2 linked regions of the Styela clava genome follow. The protein of the gene in region 1 interacts with the protein of each later gene in a pairwise test. Links are inferred from orthologs where the notes say so. Each region holds a gene or a part of one and is shown on either strand. Other genes may lie near its edges. The genes, in order: rab-like protein 6 and serine protease inhibitor Kazal-type 1-like.

Region 1 (12,846 bases):
CCTCGTGCCAAAACTAAATTTAACCGCAATCCCAACAAATTCCTTGAGCTATTTTTAACTAAAACATTAAAATTTGGTTACAGTTTGGTTGTGGCAGCATCAAGCCAGATTGAATTAACTGGCAGGCCGAATTTGGCTTGCAGGCCGTACTTGTCCATGTCTGTTTTGAACACTTGAAGGGAAAAAATGATTAAAAAACTCACGTCTAAAAAATCGAGACATAAATCCTTTCTTCTCAGCAACTTCTTTTGTTTGAATTTGTGATGGAGTTTGACTTTCCATTTGTGAGGGGGAGAATAATCCACTATCCCCAGAAGGACCAGGACTATCATTTTTTGCTGCATTAACATTTTCCTATGAATATAAAGAAGAGAAATACTGGATTCTGACAACAATATAAAAATGACTAGAATATCACCCATGGGAAAAGCTAGAGAAAACTTGAATTTATCATAATATTTAAGAATATCGACCCGCTGGCCAAATGCGACAGCGACACACAAGTAAAAATAAAGCGGCCCGCAAAGAAGTGCCAATTTTAAATGGTGCGAGGCCTGTGAAACAACTTTTTAATTTAGTTTAATCTGGTATGTGCAAGTATTTCCAATCCCTTTTCGTTGCAAATCCTATACCTGTGTCCAAATTATTATCTATACCTATCTATGATGTTACAATGCCTTAACAGCTAGCTTGTGCAAAGCGAACAATACATCTCATAAGATCGATAGCTATAAAAAAAATTGTGTGCAACTACTAGAAAGCCTATGTTAAATAAAGGTGCGGCCAACGGTTTCATCCAGTTATTTGTGTCTGGCTCTTGTAGTAAAGGTTGCACACCCATACTCTGACTAATAGGCGAATACATTTATCATTAGAAAGACTAATTTATCAATATCATTCATACTTGAACGGGCTTTGAGGATGGAGAAGGTGCTTGGTCTGGTGGTTGAGATTGATTCTTTGGTGTTGATGATTCCTCTTTGCTATTGGCAGGTAGTTTCTCATTACTTGTACCAGGTTCTGTTGGGGTCGACGGCGTTGATTGAACTTTAGTTTTTTTGTCACCTAACCTTTGTACAAACCTGCAAATTGAAAAAGTTTTATTAAAGATATTTGCATTTTGATAGATTGTTGTCCTTATTGGTGGCTGCCTGGTCAGGACCTTGTTCAGAGAGAATGATGTGAAAACATGTTGCATAAAAAATAACAATAAGGAAAATAGTAGAATAGCTCAATCAAATGAAGACAAACGGAGAAATATCAATGGAAAATTTCACAGTGATAAAAATAGCAAAGTTACTGATCTTCCACAGTAATCAAGTTAATTTTAATGATTATGGAATACTCCACCAATGACAGATATATCCAAAAAAATACAGAATTCAAACAATCACCCAAATATCATTCATGTAACACATTCCTCATACAAAATATGGCATTGATTTAGGTGAGGAACTGAGGAATTGATTTCAGCAAAGTGGCCAACAACGAGGTCTCAAAATCAATAGATATAAAAAATAAATGCAGACCAATCCTATTAATGGCAATTGCACTCCCCCATGACATTTTATTGATTTTAAAAAAAAAAAAGTCAAGCTGAAAATTATCTAGTAATTGGTTATCATGTTATGTGAATAGGTGCCTTTATTCGGTTAAGAAAGTTAGACAAATTTGAACAGATTTAAACATTTGCATACATACATACATAACGTTACACCAACATAATTTATTACGTGGACGTGGCCTAAGAATAATGCACCACCAAAGTGCTTTAGGCAGCCACTGTTTGGTTCAATAGAAATTCAAGTGAAAGAGGAATTTTAATTCAATAAACTTTAAATAGGTTATTAATCTTGATCATATTTCCAACTCTAAGACTATAATTAATAATCAACATACATGTCATATCCATGTTCTTCTGTGCTCAATTCCTCAATACAAGATTCTAAATCTAGATGATTTGTTTCGAGTTGCTTCAACAAACTTTCACGCTGAGAAAATAAAACTATTTCATTTTTACCATTGTAAATTTTTTCAAATGAGACTGAAAGTATGAAATATATAACAATACTACAAATAGACAAAAATTTGATTTTTATAGCTGAACATTACATTATATTTCATTGCATGTTTTAACTGTTTCGTTCTAGATTGTATTTTACTTAGATTGCTTAACTTGGTTAGTCTTGTACTATAGTTAATATCTCATGTCAATTGATTTAAATATTAGCATGATTTATTTATTTGGAGCCTACAAAAGCAATCTCTAACAATTCAAAACAAAGTTTCAAAAGGTTTTTGGACAAGATCACAAAATATAATCAATAAGAAGAATTATCAAACTCTGAATAATTGAGACATTGATGAAATCTAAATTTCTAATCAGTGTGAAACAACTTAAAACGATCATTGAAAATTATTACCTGAACTAATAAGAAAGGCATGTTAAAAAACTTGTGAACATATTTGAGACCAAACCCATTCCTCATTGAACTTTCATAAAACATCACCGATGCAGAACCATGAGGCCTGATAAAACACAATAAAGAGATTAATACTTTACGAAACCGCTTTATAACTATCATGTAAAACTTACAACGCAGACTCATACATGTATTATACATTGGCAGGCAATACTAACACATTACACATTTCATCTTTTTTTTTACTATTTTTATATAGTTATCTTCCATTTCAAATTGCAATACCAGCCTAATAAATAGATGGACTGGAATTAGGCTGATAAAAAAGAGTGTCAAGTGTACCTACAGTCCTACACTGTAAATAAAATGAAAGACTTTGATTGATGGATGGACTAGACAGGTCCAAAAGATCATTTCCTAACTGTTATTATTTGAGGTCTTTTGGAATCTTTGCAAATTTTTGAATGATATTTTACTTCGATAACCTTTGTTTGTATACAACCTACTAAAACTATATACGGAAAGCAGCAACATTGTACTTTCAAGATACTTTTGGATTTCTGCAGTGTTCACAGACAACAGTTTTTTCAATGTCTGATCTTTTTACATTAGCAATAATTTTGAATTTTTATAGAGGTGAATTCTACAGACAATTCTAGCCCGTTTCAACTTTCAATGTTCTTCAAGACTAAAAGAAATCTGTGAGAAGGTGGGATGATATTTTGCACCTACCTCTCAATTGACTCTATTAGAACCTCAATTTCGTAAATTGTTATGACTCTGTGATGTCCCATATCTCGAAAATTAGCCAAGACTAATACTGGAATATGATTTGGTACCTGGAAATAAAACAATTGATAAAAGAGCAGGCAAGAACATAATACAACGAAAATATCCTGATGCAATGTAAAGATCGAAAAATCTATTGTTTCATTTTTTTCTTTTCTTGAGCAAGATATCTTTTTTATCATATAGAATGCAAGAAAGTGAACAATGAACATATACATAATGCCATGTTAAGATTTTATTGGTGTGAAACATGTATTCATCATCATGTTGAAAGTCTAATAGTTTGAGCAAAATGCCATAATCCTGAAAGCAACAATTCACTATAATATCGACCATAACTACCGGTAATTACAGATGTGTATAAGAAATATGAATATGCATTTCTTTTTAGACAAATCCAGATTCTTCAAAAAAAAAAATATAACTTATGCCATGTCCAAAATATTTCACCAAATAAACAAACGAAGCAGTCCATTGATAAGTCTCCAGAATGATATATGGGAAATGAATACAAATAAACAGAAATAAACTGCAATTGGCTATTATGGGAAATATTGAATACAGAAATATGAAAGTTTTCAAGTTTTATATTTTACCAATAAATCAACACACCTTTGGCAGTTCCTTCTCTATATAAGCAAAAGTCCATCTTTTAGTGATGTCAAATGTCATTATAACAGCGTGGGTATGCTTGTAAACATCAAGAAAACTTGCATCGAGTGCTGGATCTTCCTCATCCTGGAAAATTCAAATAGTATTTCAACACAAAATAATACCAGGATAATTATGTAAATATTTATTTCAAGGCTATTTGGGTCATTGTATGAATATTGCCTGAGATGAGTCTAATATGAACATTGAGATATTAAAAAAGTTTAAAAGAAACCTATGGAATTTTGTTTTAAATTTATGTATAGAAAACTCAAATTACTCAGTTTGTTTTATTGAGGTCTCCAGTCTCTCACCACTACGTACTCATTTGTATAATGAATCACTAAATTAGAAAATGGAGAGAATTGTGATAAATGGCAAATGTTTGACTTCCTCTTTCAAACAATATAAATTACATAATCACGAATGAACATACTTCTTCGTTACTCAACTTCAATCCTTTCGATTCTTTTCTCTTGGATTTTCCTGAATGTATAAAAAAAATTCTGATTTGAAATTAGGAAGAATAAGTTGACAGTTCAAACCAGTAAGGAATAAGATGCAGGAGACAAAAACAACAAGACAGATGGTAACATGGCAGTTCGATAACTCTTGTTTGAATTATTGTAGTGTTGAAGGTAAATAACTCTGGTTACTCATGTACACTATGAAGAAACAGATAATTGCATACCTATGTTGATGAAAAATAAACAAAATGCATTCGTTCAAAGTTTTAATGTAATTATAATATTAAACGTAATTGCAGTATTGCAAAAATCTTGTAAGTGTTTAATAAGTATACATGTCAATAGCAAACAATGCATTCTTATGAAAAACTTTGGTACACCCCTACTTGATTGGAAGTTACATAAATATTTGCAGAATCAAACATTTTAATTTATATGCAAATACCATGGTCGAATGATCATGGAGGAAGCTGATAGCCATTAAAACTATTATATATAAGCTATTTTGGGAACTATAATCAAACGAAATCGTGGTCAAAACAAGCCGCCATAAGACAGCTTTGTTTTGAAATTGAGTCAACTAACCTCATTTGTCAAGGGAATAAGTGAAGCTTGAAATTACGCTACATTAATTCTAGCAGTGGAGGAGTCCATATAGATAAGGCAACATGAGTTTGTTCATATATCAGCAGTATATTTACTCACCTTGATCAACAACATCCCAGACATCCACTTTAACAACATCATCTGTAGCTAAAATATGTAAAACAAAATTCAAATAATTTTAGGATTGGTTAAGACTGGATACCAATTACCAGATTTGTCACTTGTCTTGGGCCTTGTTCAGAGTGAAAAATGAGTAACAAGATCACATGAAAAATTGATTTGAATTTCTAAAACATAATCTATTGCTCAAGAACAAAAATTATAATAGTTTCGAGTATTGTAATAATTGATTATTAAACAATAATTCAAGTGTTTAAAAAGCATGGACATTTTATTAATAACATTGTAATCTTAATATGCTGTTGGAATCTGTTTCTGAATATAAATAATTGTTTATTCATTGTTTGGTAACAATTAATTTCAAACCAATTTATTTATCGCCATATTTTAACTGCATGATTGCTCTTTTCTTGTCATTGTTGTAAACTGCTTGTCTGAGGAAGTCTGATTTTGGTCAGACAAACATTACAGAAATACATTAATGTTATTGTGCAGCAGGGCTCTTGAATTGCATATTATGGTATTTTATTCCTGTTACAGCATCCTTGCATTACATGCATACAGATCCACTAGTGCAAAGGCATTAAGAAAGGATTGGGAGTTAGTCTCGTGCACCTCTACTGATCGTTATCTTAGTTGCAACTTGCAATATACTCAAAAAAAAACATCACACCCAAGAGTTGAGCTTTTCATAAAATTTGCAAGACTAATTGAAAAATTACAAAACATTCTGGTTACACTACATCAAGTAACTGGTTAAGTTTTCTCAAAAATAATCATGAATTTTAGGACAATATGAAATACCTTTGTAATCCCACTGTATCGATGCAACTTGGATCTCTGCAGTTGGTAAATATTCTTCAACAAATTTGAGTCCCCTTAGCCTGTGCCATAAACATGTTTTTCCTGTATTTCTTTCCCCTCGAATGACAATTTTCACTGAAAATGTATATGAAAAAATTTAAAAACAATTCAAATCTCTTGGAGCCAGTAAAATTTACACTTATATTAATCTTAGTTCGACCCTTTCACTCATTAAAAAACATTCCTGCTGGTCACGTAAAATCGATAATATTGATTAATTAAATAGGATTTTTTGTCTGAAAAAGTTTGACTATGATCTAACGAAAGCTCAAAAATATAGTTGCCATTTCATGAAGAGATTATGTTTTTCTTATTTATCACTGTAATTAATAATAATACTTCGTTAAAATGGCACCCTTGTGGTAAATAATACATAGGAATCTACAAACAAGGATAAAGGATCTGCAGTTCAATACACGATTATCCAGTAAACAGTATTGATTTATCACTAAGAAAATAATCAGTTATTTCTTCATAGCACTAGCAGATCACTTCTACTGATGTTGTTGTTTAGGATATGGTTGACCGCTCTCAATCAATACAAATTTTGTCGTCTTCATAACAGATATGGTATAACCAAAAATATGAAAAATATGACTCCGTTGTCGAGACTCACAATTATATTGTACGCCCTTAGCGAATTTTCTCTGCAGATCACCCTTCATCATTTGCATGCCAGATGGTGGCGCAACCTTTTGTTGTGCATCATCATTTTTGACCCACTTCTTGAATGATTGAAACATATCGAATTCAGGACTTGCTCCGTACCAGAGTACCGAGTACCATTACCTATCGGATTCAATATGTTCTGCAGTTTTAAAAAAATACTATTTACAGATTTACTGGATCACTGGCCAAATATTTTACAAAATTAGACTAGCGAGTCATACATCTACAAGTAGTCTATAGCAGGACTTCCCAAACTAGGGGCCGCGACCCTGGACGGGGCCGCGAAACTAATTCTAGGGGCCGCAAAGAAGCACCAATTTTACACAAAGTACTATATCTATTGCACTTTTTCAGACTCTTAATTTGAAATACAATCATTAAAAATAGTGTAAAACGATAAATTCACGATTCCAAGTGAATATACATCATCACACCGTGTTTTCCCGAAAATAAGACATTGTCATCAATTTTCTTTTGAACATTGGAGCTCATTTTAGGGGGATGTAGAGAATAACGAGATTAATATACGAAATATGAATACCGAAATATGATACAAATTTAATAGCACGTTTCCATTAAAAATAGCGGCTACATATAGATTATTAACAATTTAAAAAGTAGATTTCTTTCAACTATAGGACATAGTAGTTTTCGAACTTAATTGTATTGTGACGACCTCCAGAAATATGCTCAAGTTGCGACTTCCCGTGAAAAATACCGTACGTATTGATACATTTCAATATAATACCTTTTTTGCATTGAGTTTTATATAAACGGACGAACAAAATCTAACAACAGTCAGTGAAATCAAATTCAATGGGCCATGGTAGAAAAGCCGGGTCTCATGTAGTTTCTTACCCAACATACTTCTAGTGGGTGTAGCATGACAATTTTTTCATGTATCAATCCCAACCCCCACCTGACTACACCATCCAAAAATTACGTCATTACGACGTCACAGTGACGTAATAGAGCCCTTCAAACTATACGAACTGCCATCCAAGACGCGCAAACGAGCATCCGAAGTCGAACAGTTAGTTCTCTCGTTTTCTCGTCGCAACAATTCCAATAGGAGAGAGACCGATAACGTCAGTCAGTTCTTTATCGTCGACGCCAATGCCATTTCGGTCGATCGTGCGTATATTTGGCAAGCTCTATGACGTGATTGTGATGTCGTAGTGATTTAATTTTTGGATGGCGTAATCAGATGGGGGTTAGGATTGACATATCAAAAAATTGTTATGCTACGACCACTAGAAGTACGTTAGGTACGAAACTACAGGAGACCCGAAAAGCCTGCTTAATATAAATACGAAATCGCAAAGGAGATGTGGTGCGCAAAAAATGCACTTTATGAACCAAATTATGGTATTTACTATTTATAAGAGCATAATGAAAAACAACAATAAGCCTTGTGTCAAAATTGGAAATATTGTCATTTGTCAAGCAAACTAGGAAAAGCTGAATAATCAAAATTTAGGAATCATTTTACTACAAAAATTGTCAGAAAAGATTTTATATGATCAGATGATTGGTATCGGTACCGGTACGGTACCGGTATCGGCGATTAGATTTGATGAAATTTATCAAGCTTGATAATTGTATGTGAAGCCAAATCTGCATGTACCTGTACCGGTATACCAGTATACAGAAAAAACATATACCGGTATCGGTATTATATTCGCTGTGCCAGCATATGGACTTTTGGAAACCTGGCTTCACTCAGCAAAGTGTAAAAGTCTTATCATGTCCGTTGTCAGTTTCATGGATACCATTTTTCTATTTCCAAACAGTCACTATAATAATCTATCTGGAAGTTTAACGATAGCTACGGTATCGGGCCGGTACCGATTTTGTTTTTATGGCAATAAATCTCTCCCTCTCTACCGTACCGGTATCAGCTGTTTGCGCCTTTCACATCCCTACATTACCGTACCTGGGCATACGATATAGTAAGAGTCAAGAGCCGGTACAAATCTAGAAAGCAGAAACCCACATCACCACTATTCAGCTTTAATGAACTGTAACGCTGGTACACTTTGGTAGCTTGGCACCGATAGGTGGTGATAGGTAATGTAGTAGTAGATACGGAACCGGTACATATATATTTACGTATATATTTACGGTCAAACTGGAATCGATTCCTCCTTTCCTATATTCGATACAAGACAGAAATCCGAACGCGTTGACGGTCATTGCTAACATTTTCTAAATAAACAGAGAGACAAATTTGAAATTTCCCCTGGAAAATACATTTTCTGCAAAAATGACTGGCGTCTATTACAATATTACTTGCCAAGTAATTATATGAATATTGTATTTTTCGGTTTGATCGTAGTAATATATATTTACGGTTTGATAAATCAAACTCTCTTGTGCGTAAAAAACAAAGTGTCTGAGCGGCTGCAATATTATAATTGTTACGTCTTCGTTAACATTTCTCTGATTGGTCATTGTTACGAAATAAAACACGGAAATTGTTGCTGGGGGCAATATCCATTCCATACGCTGGAGCGCACCACGCTGGCACATTCACTTACTTCGGGTCCAGTCATTGACGACTTTAACAAGGTATGTTAAGGTATCAATGGTCCAGTGGAAACTCCCCACTAATGATTTTCTCCGTTTTTCAAATTTATGTGAAACTGTGCAGCGGATAAAAATCCTGGGTCCATAGGTAGGCACTGATGTGAGTGGGAATGCAATGATTACTTTTTGTGGCAATTTTTACATGTCAGGCCGGATACTAGTGCAAGAGGACGCAAATTGATTTGGCCGATTTATCATATAATATTCAGATTGAGGATAGTTCTTATTGACAGTTATGGCGCATCGTGCTAAACATTAGGAAATTACTTGCCACCTCACTTCTGATTACACTGCGCGGGTCCGAATCCCGGATTGGTTGGCTCACCTTCGACAGGTGGTTCATAGTATCGCTGGTCAGACATAGACTGGTAATCAGACGAAAGGCTATGGCATGCCATTTGATTAAGCAGTCTCATCTAATTTCCTTTCCTCCACATAAATATGAAAATACTTCCCACATTCAGTATATCGAAAGTGTACAGATCCCCAATATGCTTTACCCATCACTGCAGAATCCAAGCTCATTGCAGATTTAACCATGCGCAATATAAGCAACACTGCTAATTTCAGTATGAAAGGGGTTATGGCAATTGGCTAAGTATACCACCCTTGTATAAAGCCAACATTAGTATCATTTTAAAAGATCAACAGTCAATTTCACAATGAATTGTATTATTGATTACTAATTATATGAGTTGCGTTAGAGAATAGTTAGATGCATTAAGTAAATAGCTTTTTAGAAATACAATTAAAAAACTTTCATTATTATATTATACATATCTTGGTAAGTGCAAGATTAGAGATTTCACACACTACATGTAAAAAGTACAAAAATATAAATGATTGGATTGGCAGCATATTAATATGAACATCTCTAAGTACCACGCAATGAACCGTGAATTAAAGCATTTTACCATAATCAGAATTAAGATTCAAATGAGCACAATGATAACCGATAAAATTTAGAAAAATAGTAAGAATATATGAATTCAAAAATGCTAAAAATTCCATTTTAAGATAAATCAAATCGCAATAGTTCCCAAACATAAAGATTGACCGTTATATCTCAAATTTACATAGTATTATATAAAGCACAATGGATATTGAAAATTTTTTAAATGACCTATTTAATCAAATGAAAATTAAATACCAGTTGACAGTATCAGTACAAAAATATCACATTGGTGGAACATTTTAAAAGGACTATTTTCTGCAATGACACAATATTTTCATTATTTTGGCATATACAGGCAGCCCCTTATTGTGGCTCTGCATTCTATGCAGAAATTGCTGCTGTGAATTACATTGAGCATTAATTAATTCATAGAAAATGTGGCAAAAGTTTTATTTTTTAAGACTTATTAGTAACAGATTAATCCACAATATGCCTTAACATTGCAGTTATAATTCTATCAAATTTATGGAAGCGATCACGTCTTGGAGACTCTGCACTTTTGAAACCAAATAACATCCTCATTTGAAAGTCGGTCGTAAACATTTCCCGAACTTTTTCAGTCTCAACAAAATCTGTGAAAACATTTTAATAATGGTGATAAAGTTGACAGACAAAAAAAATCACAAGCAGCAGTTTTGGTAATAAATGATAATCATTATTATATACCTATCAGTTTTGAATTGGCATTTTTCTTGCAATTTTCTACATTTTGTAAGATGGATCGACCAGAAATAAGATGTGATAGCAGAGAATCAAAACTTTCATCAGGAATATTTTCCCACCAGTCAGTCTGAAAAGAAATGCATTGCTTGAGAAATTATCAGAATATCGAGAATCATTATTGACAACAGAAAAAAAGAATTCATGCCTGACGTTCAGCTGTTCCAATAATGTAATACTTTTGGTCATTACCTATATATTGTTATCACTACATTGAACTAAAAAGCAATTGTACTTTATATGGCCTATTCTATACAGAAAAATCCCACAGTTGGCTCAAATTGGAGGAATATCATTGTCTATTCAAGCAACTAAAGCCATTGAAAATCATAATTACCATAATAATACGAATGCCATCATCCAATTGCCCAATACGCAATTATAGAGCATATCCTTTAGAAAATATCCCATTACTTTTTCTCACAGATAAACTTGAGAATAAATATAAAATTTAGTTTGCAGTTTTTTAAACCAATAAAAATCGTCGACAATTATCACAAGAATAGGAATGTCAATGCATATCTCACGAGTCACGACACATACTACAAATAACAGACTGGTCAAAAAAAATGCCACTTTCAATATTCTATTTACTTAGCATAAGTTAGATACAAAGCATAAATGCATTGGCATGGTCCAAAAGAATGAATATTCAAATGTCATGAAGATGACATATTTGCAATGCCACAAGCAGATGTAAGATTACTCAATTCACCCTATCTCCATCTTTTTCAGTGCTGTGTAAGCTCAGTGAATCTTCTTTTCCAATTGAACTTGTAGGTGAGATTCGATCCAACAATGAACCAAACGAAGCAAATTTTTTGGACATTGATTCACCTGAACCTAAGTGAGGAACTCCAGGTCCTGGATTCTCCAAAAGTCTGATCAGCGGCATAATGTGAGGTATGCATGTGGTGGACAAACCTTAAAATATTTAATAATTAACATTTAGCATCAGTGAGAAGATATTCCATAGGAGGAAATAGTTTGCCTAAGAGGAGACAAAGTATGACTGCCAAAGATATTAATAAAGGCAGAGGTGAACGACGATCAATATAATATGCACGATGCACTGTATGTAGAGGGTGCAGGTTCAGGGTATTACAATAAAAAAATATATATTCAAGAGAAAAGAGAAGATATGAATACAAAAATAGAGGAGGGTATCTTTATAACCATAGTCATTAGTTTGAAATTGGGGGTTGGTATGTTTTTATTGATATTAGAGCTGGAGTCACATTTTCATACTTTATGGAACTGTTTTTCCATGCTCCACTGGAGTCTGAAGAAACATAATTTTTGACTTCTAATGGTGTTGAGCGAAGTTGAAATTTGTAAAGTGACTGGGCATTCTCAACAGACAATTAAATAGGGCCAAAGTTTATTGGTTCAGAATTCGGCTCAACCGCAGTCTGGAGTTAATTTATAAACGAACTGGGGTTTGAAGCTTAAGTCTGGTGTAAATTTTCTTAGAGTTCGCAGGACTGTTTGAAACAACAACTTCTATGAACACTCACGAATTTGTCCTTTGCCCTCATCCAAGAGACGCAACAATGGCCTCAACTTTTTATCAAATGTGACCGCATTGTTTGTGAACTTAGCACGCAGTGATACCCAAGATGTTTCTAATGATGAAATCTGTTTAATCAATAATATAATAACTTCATAAAAAATTGAATTTTATAATCAAAATGGCTCTATCATAGCTTTCCATGTAAGCTCGAACTCCCATCTCAGACTATCACACCAAATCAAGCCATAATGTAAATTCGTGTGCTTCTGTTGGGGAATTCACATCATATTTTAATCCCAAAGCAATGCAGTTGAGTATTGACTGAAGGCATTGGTCAAACAAAGGTATCAGAAATGCAGAAAGTATGTGATTCGGTCACTACTGAGAGCAAATCGACTCACTATAATCCCGAATGCACAATATATTGAGCTGGAGAGATGGAGTTACAAAGGTTTACAAATGAAGTAAAGTTACGACAAA
Region 2 (12,981 bases), on another chromosome or scaffold:
TCAACTGATTCAAATAGCGAAACAAGCGACAAAAACGAAGGCGAGGAAACTATCAACTCTTCAAGCAACCAACGAACGAGAAGGAATGCGTGAATATGTCAACACGTTGTTGTAAGAAACGTCGGCATTGTGTCGTCATAATTTCGGGGCTAGCCCCGATGATTTAGTAAAAGAAACAGAAAACAAACGAGACAAACGCGGCGAGTGGAAGATAAAAGAGAGAATACGATATGCAATAGGCAACCGGGGCAAAATCGGCGTCGCCCCGTCGACGTTCGGCGAAGGCTTTGCGAGCGAAAAATGAACCATGTCAGGAGAATATGGCTAGTGTAGACAGTCTGTGCAACCGATATTGAGGTATTTTTCGAATATTTTTTTAATATACCGAAAAAACAACCGGGGCATTGCCCCGGTTGGCCCTATTGACGCGCTGCCACTGGTCATCATACATTCTCGTTTTTCCGCTCAGTTTGCAATACTTGGCAAAGTCAAACTAATTATTCGGTAAAACTAAACAAGCAATAAACCCATGCTTCAATGTATTTTCTGCTTAAACGTTTACATAAGACACGTTAAATTTCAATCAATTGTTGTCGCTAAGGCGTTTGCAATTGCATTTTATTTAAATCTCCATTGTTTACGTCAGCGTGGCGTGTTATTTAAGCCCTAAAAATCTTGATTTCGGTGTTTATTCTTCCTAAATCCGAAATTTCCCTCGACATATTCTTGTGCCGCAAAGACGATTATAATTACTTTTTTTGTTCTCGAATGGAACCATGACACCTCTGAGGAAAACGAGTTAGTTTTTATTATAATCATCAGCCACGAGATGCTAAAGATATAATAAAGAAGTGAATCCGTAACTAAAAATTTCTTTATTGTAAAAGTGGCATTATAAAATACTAAAACTAAAACGGAAAACGAGTTTTGAGAATGAGTTTTGTTTTGGGGTGAACTGCGACAGATTAAAAACACTTTCTTACAAATCAAAACAAACTGCAATCGACATTTTTATGGTTGCGGATTACCGTGTTATTTTGGAGTACTGGTGCTTTTATTTTATCGACGCAATCGCAGATTTAATTTATCACAATTATATGAATAAAGCAACCATTTAAATAAGTATATCAATCATGGATTGAATATTTTGTTCAACAGAAAAACCATTACATATCCGTTGAAAAAGTCGGCTCTTATAACGGCTGGCGTAATCTCGAGGACTGACTCAGAAGCCGTACCGCGGGGATTTCGTTTCGATGAATATGTATTTTTCATCTACAAATATACTTAACATGTATTTTAATTGTACTAAATTGAATATACTTTCTGCGATATTATACCAGGTCTTCCTAATGACGACACGAATTCGCATGAGTGCAATGTATATAAAAACTAAATATAATCGGGCAGTTGATCACACTTTATTGTGTCCGCGGATTGGCGTGGTAATTTAGATATGTATGAGTTTATTTTGTCGTCAGTCGCCGCAACCGCGAGTTACCTTGAACACAAATGAACTAAAAAAAAGAGACAATTTGAATCATTGTAGTTATTACAAGACGGAAAAATTTATTATAACACGAAAAAGCCGGTATTTTTACCGAACGCGGAGACTGTTCAGGAGCCGTTACATGTAAATTTCCGATTCCATCTTGTGAGCAAAAAATATACAAATATCGCCAACTAAATATGCACATACAGCTAATGTAATATGTATATACAGTCAATTAATATACAAATACAGCCATTTTGGTGATGTACATACACAGCCAATGTCATGTGTATATACAGCCAATTAGATCACTCAATAGTCACATAAAGACAAGTGAAAGTGAAGCTCATACAAATGTCAATATCTTATGCATATGTAGCCAAATTAATATACATATACCGCCAATCGAGTAATGTTCATACACAACCATTGCAATATGCTCATATGGACTACATCAATGTCACAGGTATGTATAGTCAACTTCATGTACTTATGAAGGCATTCAAGAAATGTCATATGTATATACTATAAACTTAAAAGCCGTTTTGGAGTTACTGAGAGTCATTTTTAACGCACTCATTATATAAATATGACTTCCAAGCTGCGACTTTTAGATGTAACCACATCGGTACATAATATACAGCAGGTGCATGGATATGGAATGGATTGGCGGTGTATGTACATCCCTTAAATATACCTGCATATCTATATCGATTTGAGTATAAGTACATATGACATTCGTTGTATATGTACATTACATGAATGGCTTCATATGTATATTAATGGAAGTTTCTATCAATAAATGTAAAGTATATGTAATAAATTATTGTGATATCAGCATCATTTAGTGACAAGCCCCTACATGTTATTTGTGCGTAACGATGCGTACAATGTCAGTCGCACTCACTGAAAATTCTTTTATTTTTTTAGTGAACTATTGCCATTGGCTTTCAACTGTCTACAGACCAATCAGATTGAAATTTGCTGCAAACTATCATTACTCACGTTTCATATTGATTAGTCAAGAAAGCATCGCCAGATTATTTTTATAGGATAAGGCCATGTTCGTTGGGGTTCGTTGAAATGAGCATCACTCAACGGTAAGCCTTTACATGCTGGTTGCGCATAATAAGACACAAAGATGCCGGAGCACGTGATTATATTAATGTTAAGCTATCAGTTTGTTGAATAAAAAAAACGATTCAACTGAAAATGTCAATTTATATGCAAAGACCATTGTAGCAGAAAAATGTGGAAATACCATTAACATAAGAATAACATGGTAGTAATGCTGGAATAGGTTTTATACACACCAATCCTGACAACTAAAAATCAAGGAAATTTAGACATCGTAAAGCAATGATTATCAAGTTTTTGTGTTAAGACACCTTTGCAAAAAGACTCTGGGCATGCCACAGACCGTTGAAAACAAAATGATAGAGACACTGAAAACCAAGTTTAGAAAGCTTTATGGGACGCAAGGGCTCAGCAAAAACTTTCATTATAACAAATTGTATTTGAGACCCATGTGGGGCCAGATATTTCATCTAAATGCTAATGTCGTATTTATTTCAAATACTTTTATATGATGCAAGTGAATAGGTGATTCTACCACGCTTGTCCGTCGATCATTTATTAACAAACTCAGTGGTCAGCTAAGGCTTAATACGCAATCTTAATGTCAATATATTTTAGCATTGCTTCTCCATATTCATGATATACTGGCCGGGCCCAATCAAGTTAATTCTCATCCAGTTCAAGTCATTACTCATCTAATGCCAAGTCAGTATCTAGTTTGAACTCACTCTAACTATTGCCTAAAATAAGGCATAAATCTTTTAAAATATAATACCAACTGTTCACTCTCAATTTTTGATTTTTCAAGCCCAAAATTTAAAAAAAATGCGTACGAGTGAAATTGGTTAAATTAAACCTACTTCAATTTGAAAAGTTTGTGGAAAGTAACCAATATAGGAAGTTGGGCCACGGTGGGATATGGGGCACGGTGGGAAATCATTTCTTGCACTTATACTATATCCATAATCAGTCATTCGTTTAAAAGTTTGGCTGCGCCTTCCGGTGAGTTGCGACGTCCCCACAAACGAACAGCGGCCGTGCAGAGCGACGCAAGATATGAGTAGAATTGATTTTGGGAAGTGGAAACCAAAATATCGCCATCTTCGTCTTTTCTTATTCTACAGGGCAAACGACTGTCTGGCATATTTTAGCTTTCGGGCCATGGCCAAATTCAAAATATATATTCTTGATTCGAAATTTTTTTAAAGGGTATTCAAAATAGTATAGTGTTTGCTTTTGGTCGAAATTGGACATTTTACTTGTTAATATATAACTTTGGATTTTGTTGTTTTATTGAACACATTGATCATTACAGTATTTGAAAATATATACTTCCGCTTTTTGATCAAAAGCCGTATGTGATGTTTATGGATTTTTTAACAAAGAACTCTCATTATCTAGAATGAAAGTTACAGAACTCAGTTTCAATTGAAATTAGACATAAACCGGAAGTGAAACAATAAATCTTTTTCAGATTTAAATATAAGAATCTAAAATATTCATCTAGTAATTCTATAAAAACTCTTTAGATACGCATGTCTCCAAGATAGTTGTATGTTGCCAATGTGAGAAATATTTTTGAAAGACGATCTAAAATAATTCAGTTGAAAATTAATTTCAATGATGATGATGATTCGTTGAATATAAAAATGCCTCATTGTGTCCCAGGGTGTGTTCGAATTCACCCTACCAACGCAATGGGACTGAAGAGCGATTTTCAGCCAGCACATTTTTCGTGTTTTCGATGATCAGCTGTTGTGGGGTATTATGACATCATAGATTTGGCGCCTATTGTATATCTCTGAAGAACTAAGTTGGCGCCTATCTCTTTGGAGTTTTACGCTTTTTGATGCGCTAATTATATGAACGACCGGTAATGTGCATATAATTCGTAGATGCAACCGCATAGGGTTTTGTTTTTTTATCAATTCTAAAAAAAACATCGTGTTTTGAAACAAAGGCTTGTTTTGAATCAAATTTTTTCTGTATTTTTTGTATTTTTTTATTGAAATACCCCTTGCATCGCCGCGAAACTACGCCAAAACGTTGCATTCTGGCAGCTGCACACACGCAGCCGGAATTATAATTTCAAAAATGTAAGTAAAATTTTTTAATTTGACTTTTACTTCTATTGCGTACATATATCGCCACGTTTGTATCTCCACCGAAGTCATAAGATTATACCCGGAATGTACAGCCGAGATATCAGAAAGACGTTTTTGAGTAAGAAAAATCACGAAAATTAGCTCACGAGCCCACTACAAAAGCAATTAGATCAAGTGCAGCCCTTCGGCAAAACGAGTGGGTTGCGATAATGAAGAATATGCTTGTATCGGCGGAAATCTACTAATATAAATGACGAGACACCCTAGCCTAGCCTATGCTAATTGTAGGAGTCCTCTGATGCAAAGACGCCATAACTAATCTGTTACGACGCCATAATATGGATTTCGAGTTCATGTATTGACATTTTTTTCATAAAATAAAGGCATTATTACGGTTAAAACTGTTCGGTTAATTTATGCTTAGCCTGCTTTGTTTTTAAGGTTGAAGTGATAGAGTTTTTCAAGGTTATACAAACTCATTTATTCGATCGCATTTCAATTTTCGCAAGGGGGTTTCATCGCAGCAGGGTCGTTCACTTAATGGCTTATCGATTGCGTCTTAATGCGCCAACCACTGAACTACAGCTTGAGAAGGTATACATGAGCCTCTATCGATATTTGTGGCGTTTTGAAAGATTTATTGCAAATAAGAAGCGCTTCGCAAGTTTTTACGTCCATTTTTATTCAACCTATTTAATACAAATAAATCAAATAGTACAGCCATTTTGAACAAAACAGGCAAAAAAACTTGATTCGAAACAATTTTTTAAAAAAAAGTTTTAAAGTTTTTTTTTTCAAAAGTTTTAAAACAATTCTTTTTGAACAAATCCCTACTGAACCGCATATACATGAATTGGATTCTTACGAAAGGATCTGGCAGTATTTTTACATCACCATAATGGCTGTATTTGTATATTGATTTGGCTATATATGCATGCGACTTGGCAGTATTTGTACATCACCTTAATGGCTGTATTTGTACATTGAGTTGGCTATATATGCATATGACTTGGTAGTATATGTATATTTGGTTGGCTGTATATGTATATGAGTTGGCGGTATATGCATAGGACTTGGTAGTATATGTATGGCACGTTACCAACCCTATCGCACCGCGTTGATCCCCGACAATTTAAGAAATATGTCCAAAAGACTGGCAGTTAAAACATTTTGGTGGTGGGGGATAGTATACTCGTAACTGCAAATCTCAAGTACCCTACACGTACGACTAAATGCAGCGGCGGGTAGTATCGGAAAACGGATAAACTCGGAGTTGTTTCAGTATTATTTGTATTTCGTACTTTAAACACTTTGCCTTGACGTGCTGTTCGCCTAGGAAGTATGATATGTCAATCGACACTCGACATATTACACCTTTCGACTGAACGTTTGTTTGTTTATATTCTTCCGCTTTTAATAGAAATTTTCGCGTCACCCAGTTGTATGCAACTTGACAGTTTCATCATTTGAGATTTACCACAAGAATCCACCAATAGTTCCCCACTAACCAAAACTTTCACTTGTTCACGTAACCTTTATTAACTACATTAGGTTTATATGTCTTTATTGGACGGTCAACACCTGACACCACGACACGGACTTTCCACCTTTGTCGTTTTTGGTAATGCAACATTTCTCAATTTGATTGAAAACCTAATTTCATTCTCGCCCCGACATTTTTTTGTTTGTTCTTCAATTTCATACATATCCCACTTTACAGGCCGCAGCGATAAAATAAGTGAAATTTTAAGTTTTCCAATAAGAAATAGGAATAAATACAACTCACAATTCTCCTTGTAGAATATGGGTAGTATATGGCTATGAAGTAATTCCCGACTTCGTCAGAAGTCCTCACGCAATCGCAGTCGAAACAACAGTGGTCTTACTTGCTTGAAACTATTTTAAGTAACACCCACACGATTAACATGGCAAAGAAGTCCCTTGTCGATGATAGTAGGTATAGTAGATAAAACTGTACATACGTACATGTTAGAAATAAAATATCAATTAAAATATAGAATTAATACTCGTAAAAATGTACGTATGTTGTGTCTACATAGTAGCAGTGTTCACTAATGTGTAAATTGTTGAATTATGTTTGTCAGAAGGATTCTGACTTGAGTCGGTGAAACGTTTCAGAAATACATTTGTGTTAGTGTACAACAAGACTATTGAATCAATCATATACAATTTAGATGAAAGAGTTACGAGTATTTATAGCAGACATGGAGATCATATATATACCAAATGTCAGCCTTGAAATTACAGTGCAGAAAGAATAGAGTTTCGGAGACTTTATATATGTCATTGTATATATATGTTTCAAATCAAGTACAAAACGATTTAAAGTTAAACGATGAAAAAGTGAGTAAACCTCGTCAGAAAGGGAATATAGAAGTAAACTTGCGTCAACTACTTGAAACGAAATTTCATAACATGTTTCATTGCTAATATGGACGCCAAGCTAAGATTGGACCCTAATTGGGTAAAGTTGTTTTTCTGTTTCATGAATAAATGGTATTGTTGTATGCGTACATCTAGTATGTGCTCAGTGAGTTCACCTGATACAGGGATTACAACTGATGAAAGTATAATGCGTGATGAAAAAACAACAAGCAAAAATGTAAAACAATTTCAGATTCAATTATCTGTGCATTTTTAGGGATTTAATAGTTTATTGGGGTTCGGAACGGTAGTTCAGATCAACACGCAAGATGTGCCAACTAATGCCAAGATGCCAACTAATACTTACTTCCTCAACTCGATTTAGTGTTGATATATTGGAAAAGCAAGTTAACAAAATGTATGATATTGAAGCTTTTCCGTGAAACATATCTTAGTTGCACGTTTTGAAATAGCATTGGGAAAAAGTGAAACAAAAACTACCCAAAATACTTTACCCAATGCACGCACTGTTTTAGAGCAAACGTTTTGCTCAACGTTCTGATTCGTTTATAGTTTTTTCTTGCTGAAGGATAATGTTATTTCCTCACCACACCATACCTTGCTTTATGGAATTTCTTTCTTTGGACCTATTCTCCGGTTTCATAGCATTGACGTAGTGACTGATTTTCAAGAAATGCATTCTTACTAGACACCGGTTTCATAAAATTACAATTTTGAGTTAATTAAGTAGGTTTTTAAAAAGTGGAGGTTTAGTTGATAAACTCAGTCACGACGGCCATATAATGGTATATGAACTGTCAGTATTTATGACAAACTTAACCAGAAGCTAAGATTGAATTGATGAAAAGGACCCATTTCATTATTCGTATTTTAAATAAATATTGTGAAAATAGTGACATAGATACGCTGTGGTGGTTACGATCAAACCTGAACATTTTTAAACGGCTGATAATGGGGAGTCCCTTTCGGGCCGACAACTGGCCATACATATTCAGAATCGTAATGAATTGAAATGCCTAACAGACGTTTGATAATACTAACCTACGATATCAAGCTATATTTGAAACAGTAAATAAATATTACCGATGACGTATTAAGGTCCAGGTGTTATATACCAATATAATCCCATGACGCACTTATTCGAATTTGTATCTGAACGACTTTTGTTAGAATGGCATGCCTCGTTCGTTAATTTTCGATTTTACTCTTCAGTGTAGTATGACAAGTGAAGCAAATCAAATTATCGACAGCGCATAGCTGGTCCACTTTCTCGGTGGGTGTTCGGTGCACATGACCTTACAACTACAACTACAACTACAACGAGTAATAATTTGCAGTGCTGTTAGAAGTGGGTTATCACGGAAACGATGAAACTGATTTTGAATATATATATTTTTTCAAAATTTTTGACGTCACTATTTACATAAAGTCGATTTAGTTTTCTACTTACGAGACTTGTATGTGCTTTCAAAAACCGCCTCAACAAAATACGAGGGCAGTTAGAAAACAATCATTGATGACGTGTACTGAGAACTTGGTTCAAAACTTTTATTGAGTTTATACTGACAGTCGTGCAATTTATTTTCTCGTATATTTAGTCAAGGTACGATGCTATCAAGTTACATTGGTATGGAAACCAACTTTGATCTGGAATGATTTATGCAGTTCATGTTTTCATCAATCATAGAATAAGGTGCCGTTGAATATTTGAATGAGAAAGTAGTAACGAGGGGACGAAATGTATAATGAAGATGTTCTGGAAAGATTAATAGTTAAACTGAATATAGCGATGAATATCTTGCAGCACTGAATATCAGTAACACTTCATAGGAGTTGTGCCGTCATCCTTGGATGACTTGACAGTACATATTGGTAAATTTTTTCTAGTGAATGATACCAGGTAAACGTGGAATACCAATAATCGTTTTGTGTTTCGATAAAGCAGTCTACCAAATTTTTATCCATTCAACAATATTATGCAACAAGTATTTCAACCCCGGTTTGCAATCTGCAACCATATCTAATTATACATGATATTATTACTTATCGATTTTTTACTTATCGATTTTATTACTTATCGATTTTAATCGTTACTTATCGATTTTAATCGAAAGTAATAGCCTTCTGGCGACAACAACAAGCTTTACCACTGAAGATTTCAAAGCAAATGGTCCGATAGTTGATGAGCAAAGCGATTTTTTTTTCACAATACCAACATTCTAACAAAACTATCTATAGGTCCACTTCGTGTCCAACAAGGAGCGCACTAAATACCCCAACCTAATGAAAATTTGTCATAAACGGACGTCATAAACGGATCATATTAATTTGCGGTCGATTTCTACAGGGTTGATTTATAAAAAATTAGTCTCGCAAACGAAGTCTATTTCATATGAACGGTAAAAACTGAAAATTTTATAGAATAAAATTCATCACAAAACTTTTTCAGTGATAACCCACCGCTAAGACAAGGAAAAGTTGAGACCAACACAAACAAATTTGCGTCCTTTATAATGTATATGCTAATTCCACAACCCTTCAAGACACAGGTCATATTCCTTAATATAACTATAAAGATAAAATATTTTAATTACAGGTTTAACATTTTCCATAGCCTAATTAGAAAAATGTGGAAAGCCACGCTCTTCCTGTTGGTGTGTTTGTCAGCGATGGTGTGTAAGTCATTTATTACTATTTATAATTATTGTAAACGGTACACAACCGAGTAGATTCAAAACTATTCCATGAACCGTTGAAGCATCATGTCGGCGGTATTGCATTTGCCTATTGATCAGAATAAAATTAATATATATAGTATAATAAATTTATCTCAAGGGAAAATAATTTGCACATACTAAAAAAATGACAAACCTAGATCTCCGGCCCACCGGTTCACAGTTTATGCAGTATATATCAAAACTGCAATTATGTTTTATACAGTGCTATGTACAGCGAATGAAGAACGCGAGGCAGATGTGAGTAATTTTCAACTTACGTTTAATAACAAATTTAGTATGCACTTTGGATTTAATGTAGAGGAAAATAATTGATTCTAACTATATCGCTTAGTTCACAGATGATAAAGATGTTCAATAAATAAAGAAGTTGAACAATAATGCCTATATATATAAACAATATAGTCGTACACTGTTTTGAACCCTGAAGAAAATTTACTTGGCCTGGTTTAAATATATATAATAAATAGCCTACTAGCTTATTTGGATGTAATGTGTGTATTAAAAATAATAAAATACACAATGCCGTTATTAGAAACATGTGTCAAAATAGTAAAAAGTATCATCATCATCGATGTATATGCACGAAATGCATCACCTATTAGGAAAATACATTTCATCTGAAAGTCTAGTTCATAAAGTTTGGAGACCGTGAGTTACAGTTAAAATATGTTGGAGCAAGCAATAACATTTTCGTTTTACACCCTAGTTGAAATGTTCAGAAAGAGAGTCCAATGGCATTTGTCCAATGATCCTATCTCCAGTGTGTGGAAGTGACGGTGTGACATACGCCAACAAATGCTCACTGTGTGAAAGGAATGCTAAGCAACCAAGAGGGTAAGTATATTTTTGGGACATTGTTTCGGGACGTTTAGCAGGGCAGGAAGGCATACTTGAAACTTTCCTCCACAATGAATCACCCTGCAGATGCGATTTCGATATATATATACTAAATGTGCTTTTCCTTATTCGTACGAAATATATATATATATATATGTAGATGTAATCATGTTGAAATAAGTGTCAAACGAATGCAAAAATAATAGAAATAGCCCCGACTCCAGATCAATACTCCGATAAAATTAAACTATGTTAACAAAAACTTTGGCGTATTCAAGAATTCTTTCATAGAGTTGAAAGAAGGCGTAGTAAACCTAATCCTTCTTGAATTCTCATATCACGATAGAAAATCTGAAATTCCAGCCCCGACGATTTCAGAAATTCGACTCCGATGAATGAACTCCAGGCTTCAGTGAGATATGCCAAACTCCGACTCCACAGTCTCTGTTAGGGTGATTACAAGTCTGGATTTAAACAATGAGACGCCCTAGGCCTAGGCTATGCCATTTGTGGTGCCCTTCTTTATCAATGACGTAATAAATATTTTATCATGACGTGCACCGTAGATTTATTTAAAAGGTTTAATCCGTGAAATACCAACATTCAATACGGGAAGGATTGTGCACTAATCCCCAAGTAGATTGAATAGTAATTTGCATTTAAAAACACTCGAAGAAACTAGAGGCTGTAATAAAACGTCATGGCACCGGAAATCCCAGCGTCATAAGACCCGTGTCTAGTCGAGATGGATAGTAGGCGGGTGTAGCCCAAATACTGATAAATAAAGGTACATTCCATTTTGTGAAAAAACGGGTCTAAGATAATATTAAAAAATCCATAATAGTAAATATATATAATTGTCGAATTCATTGTTGCTTAGATAATTTAGTATATTATATGTAACGATATTTTTTTAAATAAGGCATTATTAGGTTAAAAACTGCTCAAGTAATGTAAATTAGCATATTTTGTTTTTAATATGGAAGAAGTAGAGTATCATAAATTAAGACAAATTCATTTATTCGACCGTAACCTTTTAAATTGTATATATTTGGGACAATAAATATTAACCCGATAAAACAAATATCAGTTCTATTATGAAAAGAGCCTTAAAAATTGACCTAATAATCGAATAATAGGTTAAAATTGAAAGCCGATGCACAAAGACGTCACCCTGCGTTGCCTAATGGCAAATCCGGCCTTGTAAAAACGCAACACCATAGCGCCTCGCGGCACATTTGTTAATTCCGATGTCTTCTCAAATCAAGATGTTTCATCGAATCTGAGCCCTTTTTCATTGATGAAACACTCAACGTCTTCGTTAGACGCCGTTTCTACCTGTAAGTTCCTTGCTCGACTTTTATTAAATCTAGAGAAGCGGACTCGCTGTGGACAAATTTCTACGCTTGTGTCGTTCCCGTTTTCAGGGCTGATTTTTCATATAAATTTGCGTTCTCAAACTGCTTTTATTTTGACAGGACTGCAAAAGTAACACTGCGACACTCTGGCGAATGTTAATTGAAGATTCCTCTCGAACAACTGTGATCAAAGGGCATATATTTACAACTTAATTCTTCAGCGAGCGGTGTAACGATAATAAAAAATTGGGTGTAAATAAGTTATTTTCCATATGTCGATCTACTGTTTTGTCGTTTTAATGTTCCCCGGGGACAGCGGATTCATTCAAGTCCGCCAATACCAACTTAAGCCTAATCCATAATTTAAATCTTACAATGAAGTTGAATTGAAGCACACCACAACACTAAGTCCGCCCCACCAAAGTCTGGACTAGCATTTAAATTGCCAGATAGCAATCCTGATTTGGTGCTACGTAGCATTGTGCGTTGCCCACAAAACCTGAGTACTAGTCGCCAACCGCTCATGCTTGAAAATGGCCAAGAAGACTGTGGCATGTCGTGTTGGAGTATCTTAAAATTTTGCTTTGAAGCAAAAAGCATAGAGAAGACAATATAAATAATATAGAGACACAATAGTGTCATCCTGGTGGGAATTTGATGAATACTTGCAATGCAAGATGAATTAACAAAATATATTATATTCAAGAAAAGATACAGCGGCCGAAAACATGACGGTCAAAAATAAGTGCATAGCTAAAAAAATGAAAGGACAAACGACATTTAAAATTCCAGCAATCTAGAAGCTATACTCCCTCTAGAATATGTTCCAAATAAGTTGGGTTCTGTTCTTTTTAGGCCATCCTGTCGTATACATAATAGACAATATAAGCCTACTGCTTCCATCGCAGGGGTCGGCAACGTTTTGTCGCTCGCGGGCCAAAATAAAGTTGCAAGTCATTGGCGGGCCG

Evidence for each region.
Region 2: the proteins of rab-like protein 6 (region 1) and serine protease inhibitor Kazal-type 1-like interact in binary tests that used the Homo sapiens proteins (3 or more experiments, as listed by UniProt). The link is inferred for Styela clava from reciprocal best matches to the Homo sapiens genes RABL6 and SPINK7.

The regions. Positions count from the first base shown.
Region 1 is NC_135254.1:11,567,519-11,580,364, reverse strand, and holds the start of rab-like protein 6, read right to left. Parts: upstream 6,758-12,846; 5' UTR 6,664-6,757; coding exon 6,537-6,663; intron 5,996-6,536; coding exon 5,861-5,995; intron 5,084-5,860; coding exon 5,036-5,083; intron 4,350-5,035; coding exon 4,300-4,349; intron 3,951-4,299; coding exon 3,825-3,950; intron 3,263-3,824; coding exon 3,156-3,262; intron 2,530-3,155; coding exon 2,424-2,529; intron 1,992-2,423; coding exon 1,900-1,991; intron 1,083-1,899; coding exon 905-1,082; intron 355-904; coding exon 204-354; intron 1-203. Other genes in the region: breast cancer anti-estrogen resistance protein 3 homolog, read right to left, coding at 10,551-10,705, 10,800-10,923, 11,569-11,777, 12,371-12,491. UniProt on the Homo sapiens protein: May enhance cellular proliferation. May reduce growth inhibitory activity of CDKN2A.
Region 2 is NC_135251.1:15,160,470-15,173,450, reverse strand, and holds serine protease inhibitor Kazal-type 1-like, read left to right. Parts: upstream 1-9,659; 5' UTR 9,660-9,707; coding exon 9,708-9,756; intron 9,757-10,020; coding exon 10,021-10,055; intron 10,056-10,524; coding exon 10,525-10,652; intron 10,653-12,133; coding exon 12,134-12,173; 3' UTR 12,174-12,286; downstream 12,287-12,981. UniProt on the Homo sapiens protein: Probable serine protease inhibitor.